2 linked regions of the Arabidopsis thaliana genome follow. The protein of the gene in region 1 interacts with the protein of each later gene in a pairwise test. Each region holds a gene or a part of one and is shown on either strand. Other genes may lie near its edges.

What was found.
Region 2: the proteins of AT3G25790 (region 1) and IAA33 interact in binary tests that used the Arabidopsis thaliana proteins (3 or more experiments, as listed by UniProt).

Annotation. Positions count from the first base shown.
Region 1 is NC_003074.8:9,411,051-9,415,935, reverse strand, and holds AT3G25790 (myb-like transcription factor family protein), read right to left. Parts: upstream 2,885-4,885; 5' UTR 2,741-2,884; coding exon 2,596-2,740; intron 2,492-2,595; coding exon 2,196-2,491; intron 1,875-2,195; coding exon 1,655-1,874; intron 1,542-1,654; coding exon 1,465-1,541; coding exon of another isoform or gene 1,426-1,464; exon of another isoform or gene 1,321-1,425; coding exon 985-1,320; 3' UTR 696-984; downstream 1-695. UniProt on the Arabidopsis thaliana protein: Probable factor involved in nitrate and phosphate signaling in roots. Integrates nitrate and phosphate starvation responses and adaptation of root architecture, depending on nutrient availabilities.
Region 2 is NC_003076.8:23,267,835-23,271,699, forward strand, and holds IAA33 (indole-3-acetic acid inducible 33), read left to right. Parts: upstream 1-2,079; 5' UTR 2,080-2,189; coding exon 2,190-2,626; intron 2,627-3,046; coding exon 3,047-3,125; 3' UTR 3,126-3,258; downstream 3,259-3,865. Other genes in the region: GS1 (Haloacid dehalogenase-like hydrolase (HAD) superfamily protein), read right to left, coding at 3,684-3,813. UniProt on the Arabidopsis thaliana protein: Aux/IAA proteins are short-lived transcriptional factors that function as repressors of early auxin response genes at low auxin concentrations.

The sequences.
Region 1 (4,885 bases):
CGAAATCATTTTGATTATTGATTCAGAAAACCTCGCAAACGAACAACACTTAATAAACAACAGTGAGAGCGAACAAGAAAACCCAACAATTGTTGTTGTTATAGAGAATGAGTACAAGTCAAGAGATATTAATTGTATAGTAGTGTCGAGAGTTAGAATGGTCAGCAATTTTCATGTGGCTTTACACCTTGTTTCTTGCCCTTAAGTTACAAAAAAACTTGTCTTTTAACATATTTTGGGTTTAATATTTACACAGTTATATACTTATATGGAAAAATTGTATTTACAAAAGTAAAAGGAACAAATAAAGAATAATTCACTCCACGAGAAGGAGCCCAACGTGCACATTTGTGTTAATATCCAGTACAAGCAACAAGAGAATAAAGTTTAACCTGAAAAACATATTTGCAGATTATGCTCTTCAGATTCCGGCATATTCTACCGAGTTCCGATCCTTCTGTATGGCATAATTTTTTTTATTTTCATTCAAAAAAGTTTATATATGTATTTTTCTTCTGTTTTCGAAGACATTTTACATTTCTACAATGTTTCTGTGTATCTTATATTACTATAGCAAATAGAAACCTGGCCGACATACATATGTTAAGGACGAAATTAATTAATTTGAGTTTGTGACTGACATTTATTAATTTTGGTGGCTAAAGCCTCTATAAAAATATATGCTGATAATATACCATCATTCTACATATAATTACGATTCTTTCTATATACGATTCTTCAACTAGTAATCTAATAATTTTGTGTTATTAACTTATTATCATCGATATGCATATTGCACGACGTAAAAAAATATAGTATGCATTAGCTAATATGGATCTTTGATCAAAGATATCATCGGCTAATAGAAAAAAACCAAGAAACTAAAAATAACATAGAGTCACGCTCCAACATCTATATATATACACTCTTCACAATATTAATGTCTATAACTTTTTTCTCTTAATAAATAATCAAAAATTAAATTTATGATATTATTTTTGCATCTTTCGTCTTTGTACGAGTAGAACAAGACATAGCTGGTGAGCTACACCGAAAAAATCCGTTGTTAGAGCATCTTGATCTATCTTCCGAAATCTTCCTACCAAAATTGGAATGCCTCGGCCACTCGGACGGCAACGAACTGACCATAGGCCCATAAATCCCGGTGGTCTCACCCGATGCGACGGCGTTGACTGCGTTGGCCGTTGAATGGTTAGTCTGTGGGACCCATATTCCACCAACCACCACGAAATGTTGCGTTTGAGAGTTTCTGTTGTTCGGTGTTGTTTGGCTTGGCCGTCTTGCATGCAGCCTATATTTCTATTTATCATTAAAAAAAATATGAAACAATAAATATTATTTTCCTTCTAAATTATAAAAACATTTGTAACTAAAATGATGAAATTAATATATACCTTTTACATATTAGTTACATGTATTTTTCATGGAATATGATTTACTAACCTGTAAATGACTTTTGACTTCATCATTTGTTAACCCATCAACCTTCATTATATCTCTTATCTGTTTCGGCGTAGCTACTTCAAAATTTAGTGAACAAAAAGGTCATTACGAATTAATTAAACTTCATGAGCCCTAACAAAAAGATATGACTACTGATATATATGTTTTAACTTAAAACCAAGAAACGCACCATGAGGGCCACCAAGTTGTTTAAGAGCGTTCAAGAAGCGTCTGTGTAACTCTTGCGACCAACACCGCCTATTCTTTCTCTGCCCTCTTCTGCCACCGCCACCGCCACTGCCACCATCGCTAGTAGTCACCGGTGATTTTATGTTGTTGTTTTTCTTCGCTGCTTCATCGTTTATTTTTATCAACTCTACCAGCGTCTCTGTCTTTTCTTGTGAGCGATCCTGAATACGCAAAATGCTATTAGAAACTTAAATTACAAAACAAAATCTTTTTGTGAGCAATTTACTATCTTTTTGTGCACCCATCCTTTTTCGGTCTATTAAAAAAAACAAAAACTGGAAGAAAAAAGAATAATCTATTTGTGAAGTTGTAAGTTACAAACACAATCGCATAAAGTACACAGAAGGTTATGCGTTTAGTCTTTACGTTAACAATTAACAACGTCAATAGGCTGGTTTGGAAACAATACAGTAAATGTAATTCAAGGCAAACAAAAACACAAATGTAAACAAAGAAAAAATAAAATAAAATAAAAATCTTACCTGTCTATTATTAGAAACAACTGCGTCGGATTGGTTCCAGAGCTGAACAGACTTGAGCCATTCAGATTTCATGTTCTTGTCATCAAAATCTATGTCGGTTTCATGAGACTGGTGTTCTTCATCATCATCATCTTTGTCATCAACCTCTTCTTCTATGGAGGTCGAAGAGTGTTTGATTGGTATGAACAGATCCAAGATGCGCCCACATTCTCCGGTGGTCTGCTCTGAGCACTCCGACTGTCCGTATAAGTTATCCGTCGACGTCCCTGATATCTCCCTCTTATACGCCTCAATCGCTAAATTCCATAAAACATTTTTTAAAAATCTTTAGATCTAACATTTAATCCATATATATAAACTCATTATATCTTATATGAAATGTAAATGCATATGTATGTACCTTGAGTCACGAGCTCTACGCAAAGAGGAAGCTCGCGTTGGAAAACATTGATCTTGCGACGTTCTTCTTCGAGAGCTTCGATGTACTCGCAACATTTTTCACGTTTCTGATTGTCATTCTTCATATTACTTAAGTTCTTGATCATGCTGGTTTAAGGGACAAAACAAAAAACCAGCTTTGTTTTCGAATAATTGATAACTTTAACTATAAAGTTAGTCAAGAAGAGATGAGTTATGTCTCTTTATAAAGACAACGTATATATGGCTCTATAGGGTTTCTCAAGGATCATTATTTGAAAGAGAGAAGTCGGGCCGTCGCATTACAAGGCGAATCTTGCTTTTGTTTATAAAATAAGTATATACCTTCCCAAGTTAAATATTTTTTTTTCCCTTGTTGTATAGTAGTATTGATCCAGTGGTGAATATTCCTGGATGTGATTCCAAGTTTTTTTCGTGTGAACTTTATATTTATTTGGGTATATCCAACCAAGGTTTAAAGAAGTCCTATAACAACATTCATAAGTTAGAAAATGTCTGCGATTCCACTACAACAGAAATCGAATTTTGGAAGACTATAAACTATTCATTCTATTATTTTTACAAGTTTGATTATTATGTCATTTATAGAATTCAATACGTGGGAAAGAATATATGCAAATCCTTAAAAACAGCCGCCAAAATAACACTAAACGTGCATGAGCTCTTTTGTTCTGTAAGTATTAATTTCACCCACACAAAATCATATATAAAACGTTGAAAATGTATTTTTCAATATCCCAATATGAAAAGCCAAATGTCTCTTCGTAGACAGCCGAAACATGGGAGAAGAAAAGCCATATATAAAAAAAAAACTGTAATATACTTGTTGAAATTTCATAGGACCTTGAGAATTTGTTGAATTCGTTATAACCTTATCCATAAATACACATGTAAACTAATATATATATCCACACAATATGAGTTCCTATATATCTCGTGTTTTTGACCGGTAATTTTAATTATGTCAAGTAGACGATTACTAAGTACACCTACTAATATATATGCGAATGCATCTTCCCAGTATAATGGCCTGCCAATGCATTTCCCGGTCAAAGATATAACCTAATGCTACACATATCAATTTATATGCTATGCTGTTGTTATATCCATATAATTTGGAATTAGATATGAAATCAAACGTGATTAAGGGCTCTAATAGCTGTCAACTTTAATGATAAGAAAATATGTTGCCTCTATAGAAATTGGTGTGTAATGAGCTAATATGTTCGGGTGATGTCCAAAATATCAAGAAATTACCCGCAAATTGTTAGAGACCAACATCAAATTTATTACTCAAAATTTTAAATATCGATTTATATGTTATGATGTTATGATACAAATAGATCCACCTATTCGTAGTCTCGAGAAATCAAAATTGTGTTTAACAGGCTTATCTGTTTTGATTAGATTGAAACGTATTTTAAATAAAGAAATTAGTTGGCAAATAGAGTTTAGAGATGTATTTTAGTGTTGGATTATAATTGTCCCCTCGGAGTCTCAAAAGGCCATATTCAGTGTTCACCACTGGCCGCGGCCGAACAAAAAGACGGCCTCATGTATTGAACCCAACATGCCAACTTTATATACGGCCTTGTGTATTGTTTCCTACTTGGGCTCAATTTATCATCAATTTTTTCCACCCCTTTCTCGTATCTCCAATATTCGTATGCAATAGTACCACTAAACTCCCCAATATTCGTATGCAATTGTGAACCAAAAAAAAAGGTACCACTAAACTCCCCAACTTTGTGGGCTTCCCATATTGATATCAAACGAAAATATCTATATATAAACTTAAATCTAAAGTATAGAAGAAGAAAAAAAATCGCAAAATTGGTGGTAACCTATAAATTTTCAATTGTTTAAGATCAAACCAATGAACTCATCCTCCTAAAAAAAGATAGAAAACATAAACAAATACTGTATTTATCCTCAAATACTTCGTGATTTGTTTGTCAAAAAACTGGCATAAACGTTTAAAAGTTAGGTGATAATACCCAAGTGTCTCGGATCTATCAGACCCTATTTTTCAATTTGTATACTACTTGATATATGTTCTATGAAACTAAAATCTTTTTCAATAAAACGGATCACAAATCCGAATTTTGCATTCTCTCGTAGCTAAAATTCTCTCTTTTTTGGTATTACAAAAAAAACACCATCTTGGTTTTTATATTTGGTAAATAATTCAAAAAGTGCAAATAAGATATTTATTTTTTTTAACATTCGCAAAACTAAACTTAACTTTGTTC
Region 2 (3,865 bases), on another chromosome or scaffold:
CTTTTTCACTTTGCTTTTTATTTCAGTAATAATAATCAAAAGGATTTGTTTTTGTGATAATGAGCTTTAAGGAAATGATCCTGTGAAGAGACACCTACTGGCTTCAGTGCTCCTCCACGTGATTTTGACGCGCCAACTGTTTAGGCTTTAAGAGAAGGAAGAATGTGGGCCCATACTGTTTTAATTGGGCCTATTAAGGCTTTATTGAGCTGATGTGTAAGGCCTGTTTAGACTTGTGCTAATGTTGGATGAGCATGACAAAATGATTATCATTGTTTGGTTAGAAACAGACCAAAACAGCGGGTAAGTGTTTGATTGTTATTTAAATTTTGATTATTATCGGGGAGTGGAATAAGCAAACATTAACGTATGTCTGTAGAATCGAAAAAAAACAAAAATCGAGACAAATTAATTAGATGATTAAATATAACATGTAGACGTAGTAATGTGTTAAACTATAGTCCTAAATTGAGATCTATGAAACCGAGGTAAGTTTTAAATATTTCCATGCCTCCATGTCGGATCTTCGAGTCTTCTAATTCGAATCCCGAGTTGAAATTTAAATGTATAGAGTAAATTATTGTTTGCTTCAAACTTAAGAAAATATGCTTCTTGTGCTTCGTTTTATGTCTTCTTGGGTTTGCTTTAGCTTATTCACCTATTGCTTGTTGGATCCACCGTTAATTTTTCATTTAATAGTCCATATGAAAATCAACATTTTAGCATAAAATTACAATTTTAGGCACAGTTATTTGACTCATACATGATTTACCTATACATTTGGTCACTCAACTTAATTATTTGCGATTTTAAAATCGTGTATAATGTTTTAAAATGACTTGAATTGGAATCAACTAATTTTAGGTAGCTCGAACAAACTTGTTATTTATTTATTTTCAGATAAGTTCCGTACACCAAAATCTATAACCGAAAAGACTTTGGATTATATTGTATGAGTTTAGAGTGCAATTCTTCTTTTTTTCCCTCTTTTTTGATCTAAGAAATTTCTAATTAAGTTCACATATTTTCTTGGATCTAATCACTCTAAACAACTCCTCCCAAATAACATGAGTTTTCATTATTATTAGAGGGGTGATGTCTACATTTTGGACCAAGGTCTAATACTTTGTTTTACTTTCGTCAAACCGAGTTAAATCCGAGAAGTATGAGATCAAACGTTAAACGTATTCATGTGTGTGTATGTGATGTTACATGGATAAATGGCTATGCATGTATATTCTATATGACGTTGATGTGTGGTCGTGTGGATATATGCGTGTGTTTACCGGTTAATACAATTTTTATATTCTTCGTATGTATGCTTGATGTGTGTATTAGTGTATGAAAAGAAAATGACGTGGAACTCCCGACCAGGCGCGAGTCAAGGAAGCGAGGCGTTCGGCGACGGCAGCGCGGTCGTCTCCGCAGCCCATGCGTTACAATTTACAAGATCTCTTTTTCTATGATACCTTCTTTCATTATTTAATTAATCACCAATTTATAATGTCTTTAATTAATTTGGAGTTTTCTAGCTAATTCACATTTCTTATTATATTGACTCTTTTTCACTGTTTTTATGTTTTCCCATCAGCTTTCTTTTTGTCCACGTAAACATTTCCAAACATTTTTATTTTAAAATTTCTTTATACTTGTATACATAAATACCTAATACCTTGCTGGTAATATATGGTCAAAATTAGTGAAACCTTGGAACATTTCCTGTAACAGCTCTTATTACTCTCACAGTCGCAGTGATAGATATATAGTAGAATAAGTTAGCAAAATACAATAATTGTAAAAACACATTTAATACATAAGCATGTGAGAACATTTTTACGTGAATCCAATTGTTCATTGAATAATTAAATATTAAATTGATTGTTAATTGAGGATTCATTGTCTAACGAGAAATCCAAAGAGCAGATGTACTTTCAAATTAAATGAAACATTTAAGACAACATTAAACCAAACGAAAATTGAAAAATGAAAAATAAAAGACACCTTTTTGTTTGCCACACAATTTACGCTTTCTCTATCTATTTATATGTACATACATTCACTTTCACCAGAATCTCATCAAACACACAGTCTCTCTCTAGCTTAACAAAAAAACACGAAACACTTTGAGTTCCATGTAAGCGTCCGTTGTCTTCTCTAAGTTACAAAAGCCCTAAAACCCTACTCTCAATATGAATAGTTTCGAGCCACAAAGCCAAGACTCTTTGCAAAGAAGGTTTCATCAAGACAACAGCACCACACAACAACCTCGTGACACCACGACACCTTTCATACCCAAACCGGCTTCCAAAAACCATAATAATAGCAACTCCAGCTCTGGAGCGGCCGGGAGATCATTCCAAGGCTTTGGGCTTAACGTAGAGGACGATCTTGTTTCATCGGTGGTTCCTCCGGTTACGGTTGTGCTAGAGGGACGTTCTATATGTCAACGCATAAGCCTAGACAAGCATGGGAGTTATCAGAGCTTGGCTTCGGCTCTAAGGCAAATGTTTGTCGATGGAGCTGATTCAACGGACGATCTTGATCTGTCAAACGCCATTCCTGGCCATCTTATTGCTTATGAAGACATGGAGAACGATCTCCTTCTTGCCGGAGATCTTACTTGGAAGTAATTTTCCTCCCCTAACATTAATTTTCTTTATTATTGTCAGGATGGCCATATATATACAAACTATATATAAAACGAGCCTTATTTTAAACATAGGAAAACTATATTAATTTTTTTTCCCCTAACGGTAAAATACTACAAACACAAGTTTTTCAAGCTGCCAAGAAAACACATGTTCTCTGCTTTTCTAAAAAGACAAATATCAATAATTTAGTGAAATGATATTTTGTTGCTATCCTTATTCTGTATACTCAATTTTGCTGGCTATAGTTATTTTGTTTGATACCGTTATATATCTTTCTTAAAAATTACGGTTTTCGTTCAATGTTTAGTATAATTAGATTTTGAAGGTTTCGTGATCTTTAACTGGCAATATTTTAATACTTGGACGTTAACGAGAAAATTTGCTTGTTGACACAGGGACTTTGTTCGTGTAGCGAAGAGAATTCGAATCTTGCCGGTCAAGGGAAACACAAGACAAGTTAAAAGAAACGAGTGAGGAGGAGAAAGACCGTTTTTGCAACGATGTCATACGATGTTTTGTAACAGCCGATGTCGGTTGAATCCTAATGGCATTACTGTAAAATCATCATTGGATGTGTTTGCTTCTTTGTTCACGTACGAAATGAAAAATAAAAAAAAAGTTGTAATACTAAATATAACCTATTTTTCTTAATTATAGTGTAAAACATGAAACGTTGCAGTAACAACACATGTTAGTGATGCGTAAAGAAGAGAGATTCCAAACCATAAAGAAGGAATCAATTCAGCTATACCGACAAGAACAAAATAAGATAAGCCAATGTTGAAACTTGTGGGTAAGAGTAGTTGTACAAAAATAATTTGTTTAAACGTTGAGGCAAATTTTTTTGTTTGGTCTCTCGTCATGTCACCACTTAGTTTCTTTTTATGTCTTCAATAGCCAGAAAATCATAGAACCCTTGACGACATAAAGCCTCATGGCCTTTGTCATGTACATGCCAAAACAATATAACAAGACAAAGAATAAGCTTCATGATTTGAGTTTTTATCATTACCTTGAAGACGTTTGTATCGTTTAGTTCGAATCTTCGAATGGAGGCAAGCCCCACTCTTCCGGTTTAAAATCGACTAGAGAGGTTATGATTTGATCTGCAACATCTTGGTGAGAGATATCTAGTCTAGGATCCGGTACCATAACCACGTTCCTGTAGATAGACATCAAGATGTATAAACTTGTTTCTCGGTTTTTATTGGCTT